3 linked regions of the Daphnia pulex genome follow. The protein of the gene in region 1 purifies or fractionates together with the protein of each later gene. This does not show direct contact. Links are inferred from orthologs where the notes say so. Each region holds a gene or a part of one and is shown in the gene's direction. Other genes may lie near its edges. The genes, in order: nuclear cap-binding protein subunit 2-like, importin subunit alpha-1-like and phosphorylated adapter RNA export protein-like.

Region 1 (2,934 bases):
AACTCTGATCTACGGCACTCCTCGATCGATGGGGGGTGGCTCTGGGTAAGTGCCAGCAAGGCGGCCAGTAGATGTTCGTGAGTCGAGTCGTGATCTCGTTGAAGCAGAGCCACAAACTGCTCCACAAATCCCATATTACATAAAGTATCTAGTAAACAGGGTATTGGTTAGAGTACAAATGGAGAAACTTATGAATGTGAATAAAACCTTTGAAGGATGGATTCTCATTGCATAAACAAGTCAACAAGAATGAAGCCTTGATTTTCAGTTTCCCGAGTGATGATTGCAGTGCTCTCAGTAAAGACGAGAAACCATCACAATGCACAAATGCATCCTGGGCTTCTGCACATTCTCTTGTCAAACCTATAATCAATCAATTGTTAACTGAATTCCCTTAGTGTGAGTTGTAAATCTGCTCATTACATGAAATGGCGTACAGGGCTTTGATTCTCGCCTCTTCACAGTCATCGTTTTCCAGCATTTTAAGCAAAATTGGCAATAGGTCTTCGTTGAGCACATGCTGTTGGCAGTATGGGTTGTTCTGGGTGAGGGTGCCAATCAACTGACAGCACCTCCAACGAACTCCATCGTGGGGAGAATTCAAACAGGGGATGAGGATGAAAAATCCTCCTATCTTGTGAAAGTCTGGAGAAACAAGCGAAACAAGTGTCAATGTTTTATTCAATCAATAAAAAAAGATATCTCATACCATTAGCCGTGTCCATGGAATCGGCAAAGTCAGTAATCATTTCCAATGCTTCCTCCATCTCCTGGGGATCTTCTTCAGGACTTTCGACTCGATCTGGATTGAGGATATTTAACGATTTTGATATTTCGGCTACAACGTCGACTGACAATCCTCTTAGAGCTTCTTCTAACCAGCGTCTCCTTTCTTCACTCATCGATGTGGTTGTGGTACGATCTTCAGCTGCGGTGCCTTCGATGGCAAATCTTAAAAGTCCTTGCATATCTCTTGGTTGTCGTGGGGGTTCCATTGTTTTGCTAAGGATCTCAACAACAACTTGTTATATATTTATGAAGAATAAGACGCAGTACGCAAGTTAAACCGTGAACGCATGGGGCAAGCAGACGTCAATGAAACTGTTTACTAGCAAAATCAAGAAGAGTCTGGAATAAAAAGAGCCATCTAGGCATGACTCGCATAACTTAAAAAATTTTGACATTTACAAAACAAACCTGTTAAGTTAATTAAGATTTGGATAAAATTCATTGAGATTTTAAAAAATTATTGAAAAAATCTGCGAAAGTGTGTCATATTTTTATTTGGTTTTTAATTGTAGTTTAACGCCGGAATGGGTTTCTAGCAAGTGACGTAACCTAGCGGCCGCCATAAGCATCTTTTCGAAAGTCACTCGCGTCAGGTTTGTTGTGTCAACGCACACTTTTTTTTAGAAAAAAACCACACCAATTTTAGTAATTTAAAACGCATAAAGTTTAGCCGGTTGATTGGCTGAATACAAGGACACTTAATTCGGAAGACACTGGGGTGAACGGTGTGATTGGTTCTCCCGAAATAATTCGTAGAAATGGCGGTTCCAAGCACATACCGAGACCAACATTTCAAAGTAAGCCTCATGAGTTGATAGCAGAATTGAAAATGTAACTTAATATACAGTTTTGAGGCAATTAATGTTTAAATGGAAATGCATACCTTAATAATTAAAAATATTTTGATATTTCAAGCCAAAATAACTGATTTCCATCTTTCAGGGTTCCCGGGTAGAGCAGGAGCGTCTGTTGAGTCAATCTTGCACCCTGTATGTTGGAAACTTGTCCTTTTACACAACTGAAGAACAGGTTAAATACTTCCAAGTCAACAATTGGTTCCATTTGATTTCATCTTTTCAAATATTTTAGATCCATGAATTGTTTGGGAAATGTGGCGATGTCAAGAGAATCATCATGGGATTGGACAAGTTTACTAGGACCCCTTGTGGATTTTGTTTTGTAGAGTAAGTCATTGCAACCAAATCCAATAACAAAATTGTGTTTAATTATTTCTAATTATCTTTCAAGGTTTTACCTGAGGAATGATTCAGAAAATGCCATCAGGTTTGTGAATGGGACAAGACTGGATGACAGAATTGTGAGAACTGACTGGGATGCTGGCTTCATTGAAGGAAGGCAATATGGCAGAGGCAAAACTGGAGGACAGGTCAGCATTTCGTCAGCTCAAACTTATTGTTCTCAACTAATGGATTTCTGTTTTGCAGGTGAGAGATGAATACCGAACTGACTTTGATGGTGGCAGAGGAGGATGGGGCAAAATGATTCAGCAGAAGGTGGCCACATCTGCTGCTGCTAACAATTGATAACATTTCTAAATACTGTATTCATTCATCTCTGTGTGTTTTTTTTTTTAACAAATGTCAACAAGTGTTATCCTCAATTAAAACAGACCATGCTGAATTGATTTCCTAAACAAAATCTTTTTTACCTGTGAAAGAAGACGTTTCTCGTCATGTTTCCATCTGCCAGTCCGGTTGGCCTGGATTTTATCGATCGAAAAGTGGGGACACTAGAATCTCTTGCCATGTGATCTGTCACTCCCAAAGCTTTTTCCTTTTCAAAGCGAAGCGGGTAGTTTCCCAGAAGAGCTTTTGCGGCCGCGTGATGCACGCCATCATCTACATGCAAAGAAATATTTGAATATTCAATTCCCAGTGGTCGTCTGCAACTTATAACGAATGTCACAATTGAATTTGTGTCAAATGTGAAGCTAATTCAATGATCATTGATCAATTAGATGATTTCCAAAATGGAAATGGTATCGATTTCTGATTGCTCGGTAGTTGTTTAGTTATTCCAAATTAAAACTAACTTATTTATCGTTCGAAGAAAGAATGTGCTTGACGTGACATTCAACGTGCATCTGAACTACCAGGAAAATTGTACTGAGTGAGTGTGTGTGTA
Region 2 (4,307 bases), on another chromosome or scaffold:
TAAAAAAGAGACGTGGAACAGATTGAAACTTAAACGAGAAATGTCAAAACAACTCACCATGGCGACAACCAGGCAGACGGCAACCAGAAGGAAGAGAATCGGAAGGAACTTCATTTTTTATCTAGGAGATCAGACGTGGGGGTTTAGGAATTCAAACGCCCAAGTGGGTCGTCATTTTATAGTCGAGCCGCATTTTTCTATGTCGATTATTTAAGTAGCGCCAGTTGAACTATCGGATTCAAATGAAACTTGACAATTTACGAGGGGCTGGAAAATGATTGGACGTGATACGAATGTGTTGGAATAAACACCAACTGCAACACCAACTTTGCAGGGTCGTTGTAATCCAGTTGAACCGATGACGGGAGTTGCAGCTGTTCACGTTGGATTTCTCCGTTTCTTTTGGAACTGCCCGGCGGATTGCAACTAATTGTGGGGAAATTGGAAATGAAAAGGAATTTTAGAGTCTATTAGCACACGTGACCTAATCACAGAATATGATTAGTTTTTAAGAAACGTATAGACTGAAAAATGTGTTTAACGTATTACGTGCACACTGTCCAGCACGGATTTTACGACCACCTGTGTCGGAATTAGCGATTCCAACTGAACTATATTTGGTACGCTCTGTTGATCAAACTTGTCGAAAGGCTAAACGGTCCCCTCTTGCAGTCGGATGAAACTGATTTTTAAAAATAAAAGTTATTTGCCTGCCACTGATTTAATAAATTAAATGAAATAAGATATATAACTTGAATTCACAACTGTTAGTGTTTAAAGCAATTAAAACGTTTTAATTTCTACAGAAAGTTTAGAGATCAGACAAGAGACATTGTAAATCTAAATTTCATTCTGTATGTTTGGTATCACAGCTAGGCCTACCTCATTTCGTTAGGAAGATGTATTAAAATGAAGTTTCTTCCATACTTTATCTGTTGATTCTGTTCACACTGATTTTGGATGATACTCTTACAACTGATGGAAAATTTGGTCTGAAAAATATTTGAAAATTTAGTATAAATTAATTTGGGTTGTGGGAGAAAACTTTTCTTTCTTCCAGATGGCAGTCTAAAGTTTAAGCTTTCAGGAATCGGCTGGCACTGGCTGGTATTCAAATTTTTGCCACTTTTTTAGTTTGGAAAACAGTTTTATATAAATTGAATGTTCAAGATTACTGGATCTATATTTGTATAACTTCTTCCTGCCAACATAAAAATTGTTGATGCTAGTTTTATGAAAACTGTTTAAACCAGGGGAGAGATCTCTGACACTGTCATTTGGACATCATCATACATCATGTTCTTAAAGAAAGACTTCCAACAGATCATTAAGTCAGAAGGTTAATTAATGAGAAATCCTATGGTAACAAATTCTTATTAAAATCAATTATCAATTTCAGTTAAATTCTATTATGACCAGCTCCATCGGCGTTTTTCATTTTCTGCTTATTTTGAAATTTTAAATTTTCTCGTCTGCTTATACGTTGCCAGATTTGATCCCATTCCGATTGCATCAATGAATAAATTTGGCAACAGGCAACGGTTAGGTTTGAAATTCCCTCCCCCTTCTTCTTCTTCGTCGTCTGGAATTCTCTTAGCGATCAAACGGTCACCATTCATCAATTGATTCTTGCTCACAAGTCCCGCAGGTAATTCCTCTCTCTATTAATTTTCAATTTTTCTGACATTCCCACGTGGAATAATAGTTTACTTCTTGCTTCGACTATAACAAATTGTGAAATAATGGTATGAGTCATCATTGACACATTTTTAACGACTGCCATAGTCTGGGAAATTTTGCACGTGGCGCGGGAAATTTTTTCTCTTTGTTGCTTCATTGTCTCGAGTCCCATTTCTCATTTTTCTTTTGTCATTGTGCCAGATTTGAAAATCCCTTTTAGAATTCTCTTTCTTTGACAGCTGGAGTAAATTACACTATCACAATGCCTACTGAAGCAAATCCCAGCCGGTTGAAGGACTTCAAGAACAAAGGCAGAGATGTTGAGGTAAATACCTTAAAATAACTAGTGTCAGTTCTCAAATGTAACAGATTTTTCATCTTTCTTGTTCAGGAAATGAGGAGGAGACGTACAGAGGTGAATGTTGAGTTGCGGAAAGCCAAGAAGGAAGATCATTTGTTGAAGAGACGTAACCTTGAAATCGATGATGAGCCCCTCAGCCCACTCCAAGAACAGAATCGGATGGCTGCAGCAAATATGAGCATTGAGGACATAGTCAATGGTATGTGTGCATCAGTTTTTATTTCTGAGTTGCTTCTCATATGTTTTTCATTATCGTTAGGTATCAACAGTGGTGATGAGAACAAGGAGATCACTGCAACCCATGCTGCCCGTAAAATCCTCAGCAGGGAACGTAATCCACCCATTGACATCCTCATTAATGCAAATGTTGTTCCGAAGCTGGTGGAGTTTCTCAGTCGTGTCAGCAAGTATGTCAAGTGTCTCTTTTGGTTTTTGAACATTTCCTAATGGTCTTTCTTTGTTTCAGCCCCGATCTGCAGTTTGAGTCAGCCTGGGCTCTCACCAACATTGCTTCAGGCACATCTGACCAGACAAAGGCTGTCGTCAGTGCTGGGGCTGTCGCTGGCTTCATTTCCCTGTTGGGGTCACCTCATCCAGTTGTGGCAGAGCAAGCTGTTTGGGCTCTGGGTAACATCGCCGGAGACGGACCAGAGCTTCGTGATCACGTCATCGAGCAAGGCATTATCAAGCCTCTGCTTACTTTGATTAAACCTGATACTTCGGTGAGTTTTATTTTAAATTTACGTTCGTGTGCAGTTGTTAATTGATTTGATCTATAGGCCACATTCTTGCGTAATGTCACTTGGACTTTGTCCAACTTGTGTCGTAACAAGAATCCTCCGCCCAGTGTCCCTGCCGTCCGGCAACTGCTTCCCGCATTGGCCCACCTGATCCACAACAACGACAAAGAGATCCTCGCCGATGCTTGCTGGGCTCTTTCTTACCTCACCGATGGCCCCAACGAACGGATTCAGGAGGTTGTCGACGCCGGTGTCGTCCCACGGCTGGTCGCTTTGCTGGACCACGTTGAGGTGGCCGTGATCACCCCCACTCTGAGAACAATCGGGAATATCGTTACAGGAAGTGACATTCAGACCGATTCCGTCCTGGCTGCTGGTGCCTGCCCGTTGCTGGCCAAGTTACTCGTTCATGCTAAGATGAACATCGTCAAGGAGGCTGCCTGGACCGTGTCCAACATTGCTGCCGGCAATGCCATCCAGATTCAGGCTCTCATCACCAACAATGTTATTCGTCCGTTGGTGGATGTGCTGGGCAAAGGTGACTTCAAATGCCAAAAGGAGGCAGCTTGGGCCATCACCAACATCACTTTAGGTAACTTATTTCATTTTTACTGGTGTTTTATTGATTTTTAATTGATTTTTCTTATTCATTTCAGGTGGCAATGTGGAGCAGATCGCCTTGTTGTGCCAGTTTGGTGCCATCGCTCCGCTGTGCACTTTGCTGGAGGCAAAGGAACCCAAGACCATCTTGGTCGTGCTGGATGGATTGGCTAATATTTTGGCCGCAGCTGAGAAAATGGGTGAATTGGAGAAAGTTTCCCTTCACGTCGAAGAGTGTGGTGGTCTGGACCGCATCGAAGCTCTGCAGAGCCACGACAATGTTGAAATCTATCACAAGTCATTGGCCATTCTGGAGCAGTACTTCTCAACTGACGTAATTTATTCTTTTTTTATTGTTTCTTTTTTTGGGTTTATTTCAATGATTACCACAACTGTTCACATTCATAGTGTTTGTGCTGACAACTTAACCATTACTGAGATTTTAGAAAATTAGTTTTATTTTGAAATAGTGTTCTTGAATTTGATTTAATCGTTTTTGTTTGTTATTTCGACAGGGGGATGAAGATTCCGAGTTGGCGCCATCTACATCGCAGAGTGGCAATTACGAATTCAACAACTCGCCATCTCAAGCCCCCGAAGGAGGTTTCTCATTCTAAATTTTGTATAATCTAAAAATTCTTTTTGATTTTTTTCTGCCTTTACAACGGTAAATATATTCTTCACTTTCTTGAACGCTATCCTAATCATGAGTTTTGGCCTTTTCTTATTTCAAAGTTTTTTTCTAAATTGTTTTTTAATTGAAAGTTGCCATTTGCTTTCATTTCTGTCCATGCACGACGTCTTCTTTCCTCTTTCTCAATGCGCGATAAACGAGCAATACAAAACAACTCGATCAACTCTACATTTGATAAGTTTTGATTTTGTCGTGCTAGTTTTTATTTTTTGTATTTCAAGTTGATTTCCTG
Region 3 (3,905 bases), on another chromosome or scaffold:
CTCAATCTCAATTCTCAATACTCACATCAACAAAATAATGTTTGTGGAATGATAAGTAGTCAAAAGTCATTTTTCTTATGTCAAATAAATGAAACATGAGAAGAATTTAAAAACATATTTTATATGTCAAAGCTGAAATGATTTCAACATCATTTGGTTGTTTTGCATGTTAGTTGTTTAAACTGTTGGTCAGACCGTCAAATTAATGCTTCTTTGCTGGCCACAAATTAAATCAAGTGTGCACAAAAAATCCTAGGGAAATTTTATAGGTTCTTGCTTTGTCTCATATACCAAAAAATACCATTAAGTATTATTAGTGTGTCATTACTAGCAAACAATCATTACCAAACTAGGCCTATAATTTACTAAATAGAAATTTTAAATTTACCTTTTTCAGATGAAGCTTGAAAGTTGAAACACACAAAATTGTTCTTGCAACAAAAGGGGAAAAAGTCTTGAACTGATACAAAATATCAACTGTTCAAAATGTGATATGCCTTGCAGCTAGATAGGTTTTCAATTTCATCTCGCAGAACGATCTCCATCTCCTACGATGTGAATTGTGAAAACATCAGGTGTTTGTAAAACCGAAGAAAAGGCATCGTTAAATTAATTAAAATAAATTTAATGTGCTTTAAATTTCGTTTTATTTCGGAATACGTCTTCTTAGTCTTACAGCTGGCACCGACAAAAGGAATTCCTTCTAACAGCTTTTCGTACTCGAGTGGGCGGGTGTAATCCTTGCGTTGGTACCGTCCAATTTGATGCAAGACTAGTTTGACTTGTAACACGACTTATTTTTTAAAATCTGATTTGTTTCGTGACAGAAAAGTCTGGTGACTAGCTTGGCGTAGTTTTGATTTTAGCATATTGACTTCGGGTCATTCGCTTTCCCCATTGAAATACCCGAATTGTCGTTGTATTTCATCTGAAAAAAGAAGCGCATTCTCTTGCACTTAATAGTACCATGGACTTTACAAAATATCTATTATATAAGCTGTTTTAATATTGAAGTCTTTTCTTATTTCCAATAGGAAACTAATCAAATGCCATTTGATCTGATTCTGTGTTACAATTTTTTTAGGAGAAATGATTTTGCTTGCAAGTCAAACAAGCTGCAAAGCGCCGCCTCAGTCTATTCTTTGTTGCAACGTCCTTTCTCCTTTGGTTGTCTGTTATTTACTTATTTATTTTAAAAAATTCATATACGTCTTGTATATCTTTATAATATTTCTTTAAAACTGAAATATTGAGTCATTTAATTGGACTAGCCTACTGCAAATGCAAATATTATTTTTATTTAACTGTGGCATTTTATTTATTTAGATCGCGCGCTTATTAGTTCTATCCGTCCGATACTAGGTGTCTCTGTCGTCGAGAAAACATTGAACACTGTCTAGACTCTCTACCGTTTCTTGTGTTGTGAATTGAATTTCAATATCTCTTCACTGCTGAATTTTCCAGCGGCTGATAAACACTTGAGTTGGTTTCAATTCCAGGATCCTTTTTTGAAAGAAGTAAAAATTTGTTGGATAGCGTTTTATAATGCAACATATAGATGAAACTGAAGACGGAGAAATTTCTGACGATAGTGATGTAAGATACGGTTACTGCTAAATGTTAAATTGGTTGTAACGATCCATCCCTTCTCTGGTTTTCTCTGTGTCTTCATCTCATTTTATTAGATTGAGCCATATACTGCTTTAGAAAGACCTACATCATTCACTACTGCACACCAACCCTTCAAGCAAGTTGCAGAAGATACTGATGAATCGAGCGAGTCAAGCAGTAGTAGTGATGAAAGCAGCAGTGATGAGCAACTACAGAGGCCAGCAAAAAGACGAAGAAAAGCAGAAACCAAAGCATTAAAACCTGCCCAACCAGTTGGCAAGCACAATGTTTGGAGTACAGTAGTGTTTGAGGATCAGTTTGAACAAGACATTAAAGACATTAATGTGCATCACAGCAAGAATTACCTTGATAGGTCTAGGGATGTTGAATCTTATAACTATGTACTGTGCATGAAAAATCGCCTGGAAGAAGAAGACATTGATGAAAAAACTGAACAAAGGATCCGGAAGAAGATTGCTGATTTAGATGAAAAATATGGAGGTGGAGCTCCTGTGAAAGTAGAAAAGGCAGTTGATGAAGACTTTGAGCAGAGCCTTCAGCAAACCCAAACACTGTTGAATTCTCGAAAAAGGAAAATGGATCAGAGAGATAAAGAACCCCAAAGTACTGTCCCCAAATCCAAAGTTAAAGCAAGACTCAGGCGTGTTGAAGAGCTATCTGTTACTGAAAAATCTACTGTCATGGAAGTGGCCCAGGATATAGCTCTAAAGCTTCACGAAGAAAAGATGGATTTGATTCTCCGTGTAGTTGAAATATTGGGCAAGGAAATAACAATCAAACTGTTCTACGAAACGCAAGAAACTGAAAATGACGGAGGTATCTTGATCGCGGTAAGTTTATATACATTCTCTTAGTTTGAATATACTTAAATTAAAATCTCTTTACATTAATAGGATGGATCTCGGAGAAGGACTCCCGGTGGTGTCTTCCTCTTCTTGTTGCGCAATCACGAAGAAATCCCGATGGAAAAAATTCGTGAAATATTCAGCGAAGAGACCAAAGCAAGAGAACAACACAAACGAACTTTACGAGCTAAAAGACGGCAAACACAAGCAGACAAATTAAAGAAATCACTTCCAGGTAATCATGATTCATATTCTTACAGGTAGTGAAACGTTGCTTAATTTCGCAGGATAACTTTGCGGAAGCGAAGTTTTTCGTCTCTTCTTTTTTGTTCAACTACGTTTTTATATTTATATTCTAACCTTTGCCAAATTAAAAATATTTACAACTAAGAATTTCATCTTTTTTAAGCAAACCATAAAAGTCAGTTCAATCAAGTTAAATTCAATCAATGGTTATTTGGACTTTCTAGCGCCAAATACTTTACCTGAATTGCCAACGCGAGTCGAGCTGGAGATTCAAAAGAGTCAACAAGACGCCCAACCAACAGCAACTGAACCGCTAATGAAATCAGACAATGAAACAATAATGGAGCAGCAGCCCATCCAAAGTGAAATCGCTGAATGTGAAGTACTTGACTGTACTGACATACATTTCGATTCCGAATGAAGCATTTTTGAACGTAAGAACAGTTGAGTATGTATTCCTGAGAAAACTCCTAATTGTATGTTTATTTCTCGTATATAACATTGACGCTAATGCGTGTTTGTACCGAGACGATTTAAAATACAGTACCTTTCCAGTTCTTTGTCGTCGTGGACATGAAATTATTAACCACGATTTAATCAATATAGGTGTAGGGATTAATTTAACTAATAAGACGCAAGAGTATGAATTGTATTGTTATTATTCGTCTTATTACGACACAACCTGGCATGCACTTGCAAGCCTTACAAGTTCAAAACAACCACTCAGACAGTCGACTCGTACGAGATAATAAGGAGTGTTACTTCCACCGGCGAAAATGCGGATTTATGTATAGTAATATTCAACTCGTTCGTAAATGCTACTTATAATGTCTAATGTGCATTAGTGTGAATCAGGCCGCCTACAGTAATGCATATTGGCTTCCCCAGTCGTTAACTAGTAAACTCTCGATAACAGGAACTTTCACTCTCAACAACACAGCGAAACTTTCAACTCAACACATTTTGAAAAATACAAAACAATAAAAAACCTTAAGAGTGATTTGGAAACAAATCGTCATTGACCAACAAATTTCGAGATTAAATCATTATGTGCGCGCTTCGCGGTCTCTCCATCTCTTTAATTTCTCTTACTAAAAAAGAATCCGTACAAGTGGCAGCAACAAGTAATCCCTCATAACAGTGATTATATTAGCCGACTAGGTCTATGTAATATTCTACTTT

What was found.
Region 2: the proteins of nuclear cap-binding protein subunit 2-like (region 1) and importin subunit alpha-1-like purify together in Homo sapiens (affinity purification with mass spectrometry; 4 studies listed by BioGRID and IntAct, with this or other methods). This does not show direct contact. The link is inferred for Daphnia pulex from reciprocal best matches to the Homo sapiens genes NCBP2 and KPNA2.
Region 3: the proteins of nuclear cap-binding protein subunit 2-like (region 1) and phosphorylated adapter RNA export protein-like purify together in Homo sapiens (affinity purification with mass spectrometry; 5 studies listed by BioGRID and IntAct, with this or other methods). This does not show direct contact. The link is inferred for Daphnia pulex from reciprocal best matches to the Homo sapiens genes NCBP2 and PHAX.

What each region holds. Positions count from the first base shown.
Region 1 is NC_060026.1:16,276,555-16,279,488, forward strand, and holds nuclear cap-binding protein subunit 2-like, read left to right. Parts: upstream 1-1,351; 5' UTR 1,352-1,547; coding exon 1,548-1,586; intron 1,587-1,731; coding exon 1,732-1,818; intron 1,819-1,878; coding exon 1,879-1,973; intron 1,974-2,037; coding exon 2,038-2,176; intron 2,177-2,234; coding exon 2,235-2,333; 3' UTR 2,334-2,430; downstream 2,431-2,934. Other genes in the region: hsp70-binding protein 1-like, read right to left, coding at 1-148, 208-363, 424-645, 710-995. UniProt on the Homo sapiens protein: Component of the cap-binding complex (CBC), which binds co-transcriptionally to the 5' cap of pre-mRNAs and is involved in various processes such as pre-mRNA splicing, translation regulation, nonsense-mediated mRNA decay, RNA-mediated gene silencing (RNAi) by microRNAs (miRNAs) and mRNA export.
Region 2 is NC_060028.1:48,983-53,289, reverse strand, and holds importin subunit alpha-1-like, read left to right. Parts: upstream 1-1,495; 5' UTR 1,496-1,648; intron 1,649-1,881; exon of another isoform or gene 1,882-1,919; 5' UTR 1,920-1,942; coding exon 1,943-2,005; intron 2,006-2,071; coding exon 2,072-2,240; intron 2,241-2,300; coding exon 2,301-2,448; intron 2,449-2,507; coding exon 2,508-2,763; intron 2,764-2,820; coding exon 2,821-3,373; intron 3,374-3,437; coding exon 3,438-3,715; intron 3,716-3,896; coding exon 3,897-3,998; 3' UTR 3,999-4,243; downstream 4,244-4,307.
Region 3 is NC_060019.1:7,576,886-7,580,790, reverse strand, and holds phosphorylated adapter RNA export protein-like, read left to right. Parts: upstream 1-1,365; 5' UTR 1,366-1,545; coding exon 1,546-1,596; intron 1,597-1,685; coding exon 1,686-2,462; intron 2,463-2,525; coding exon 2,526-2,712; intron 2,713-2,947; coding exon 2,948-3,144; 3' UTR 3,145-3,280; downstream 3,281-3,905. UniProt on the Homo sapiens protein: A phosphoprotein adapter involved in the XPO1-mediated U snRNA export from the nucleus.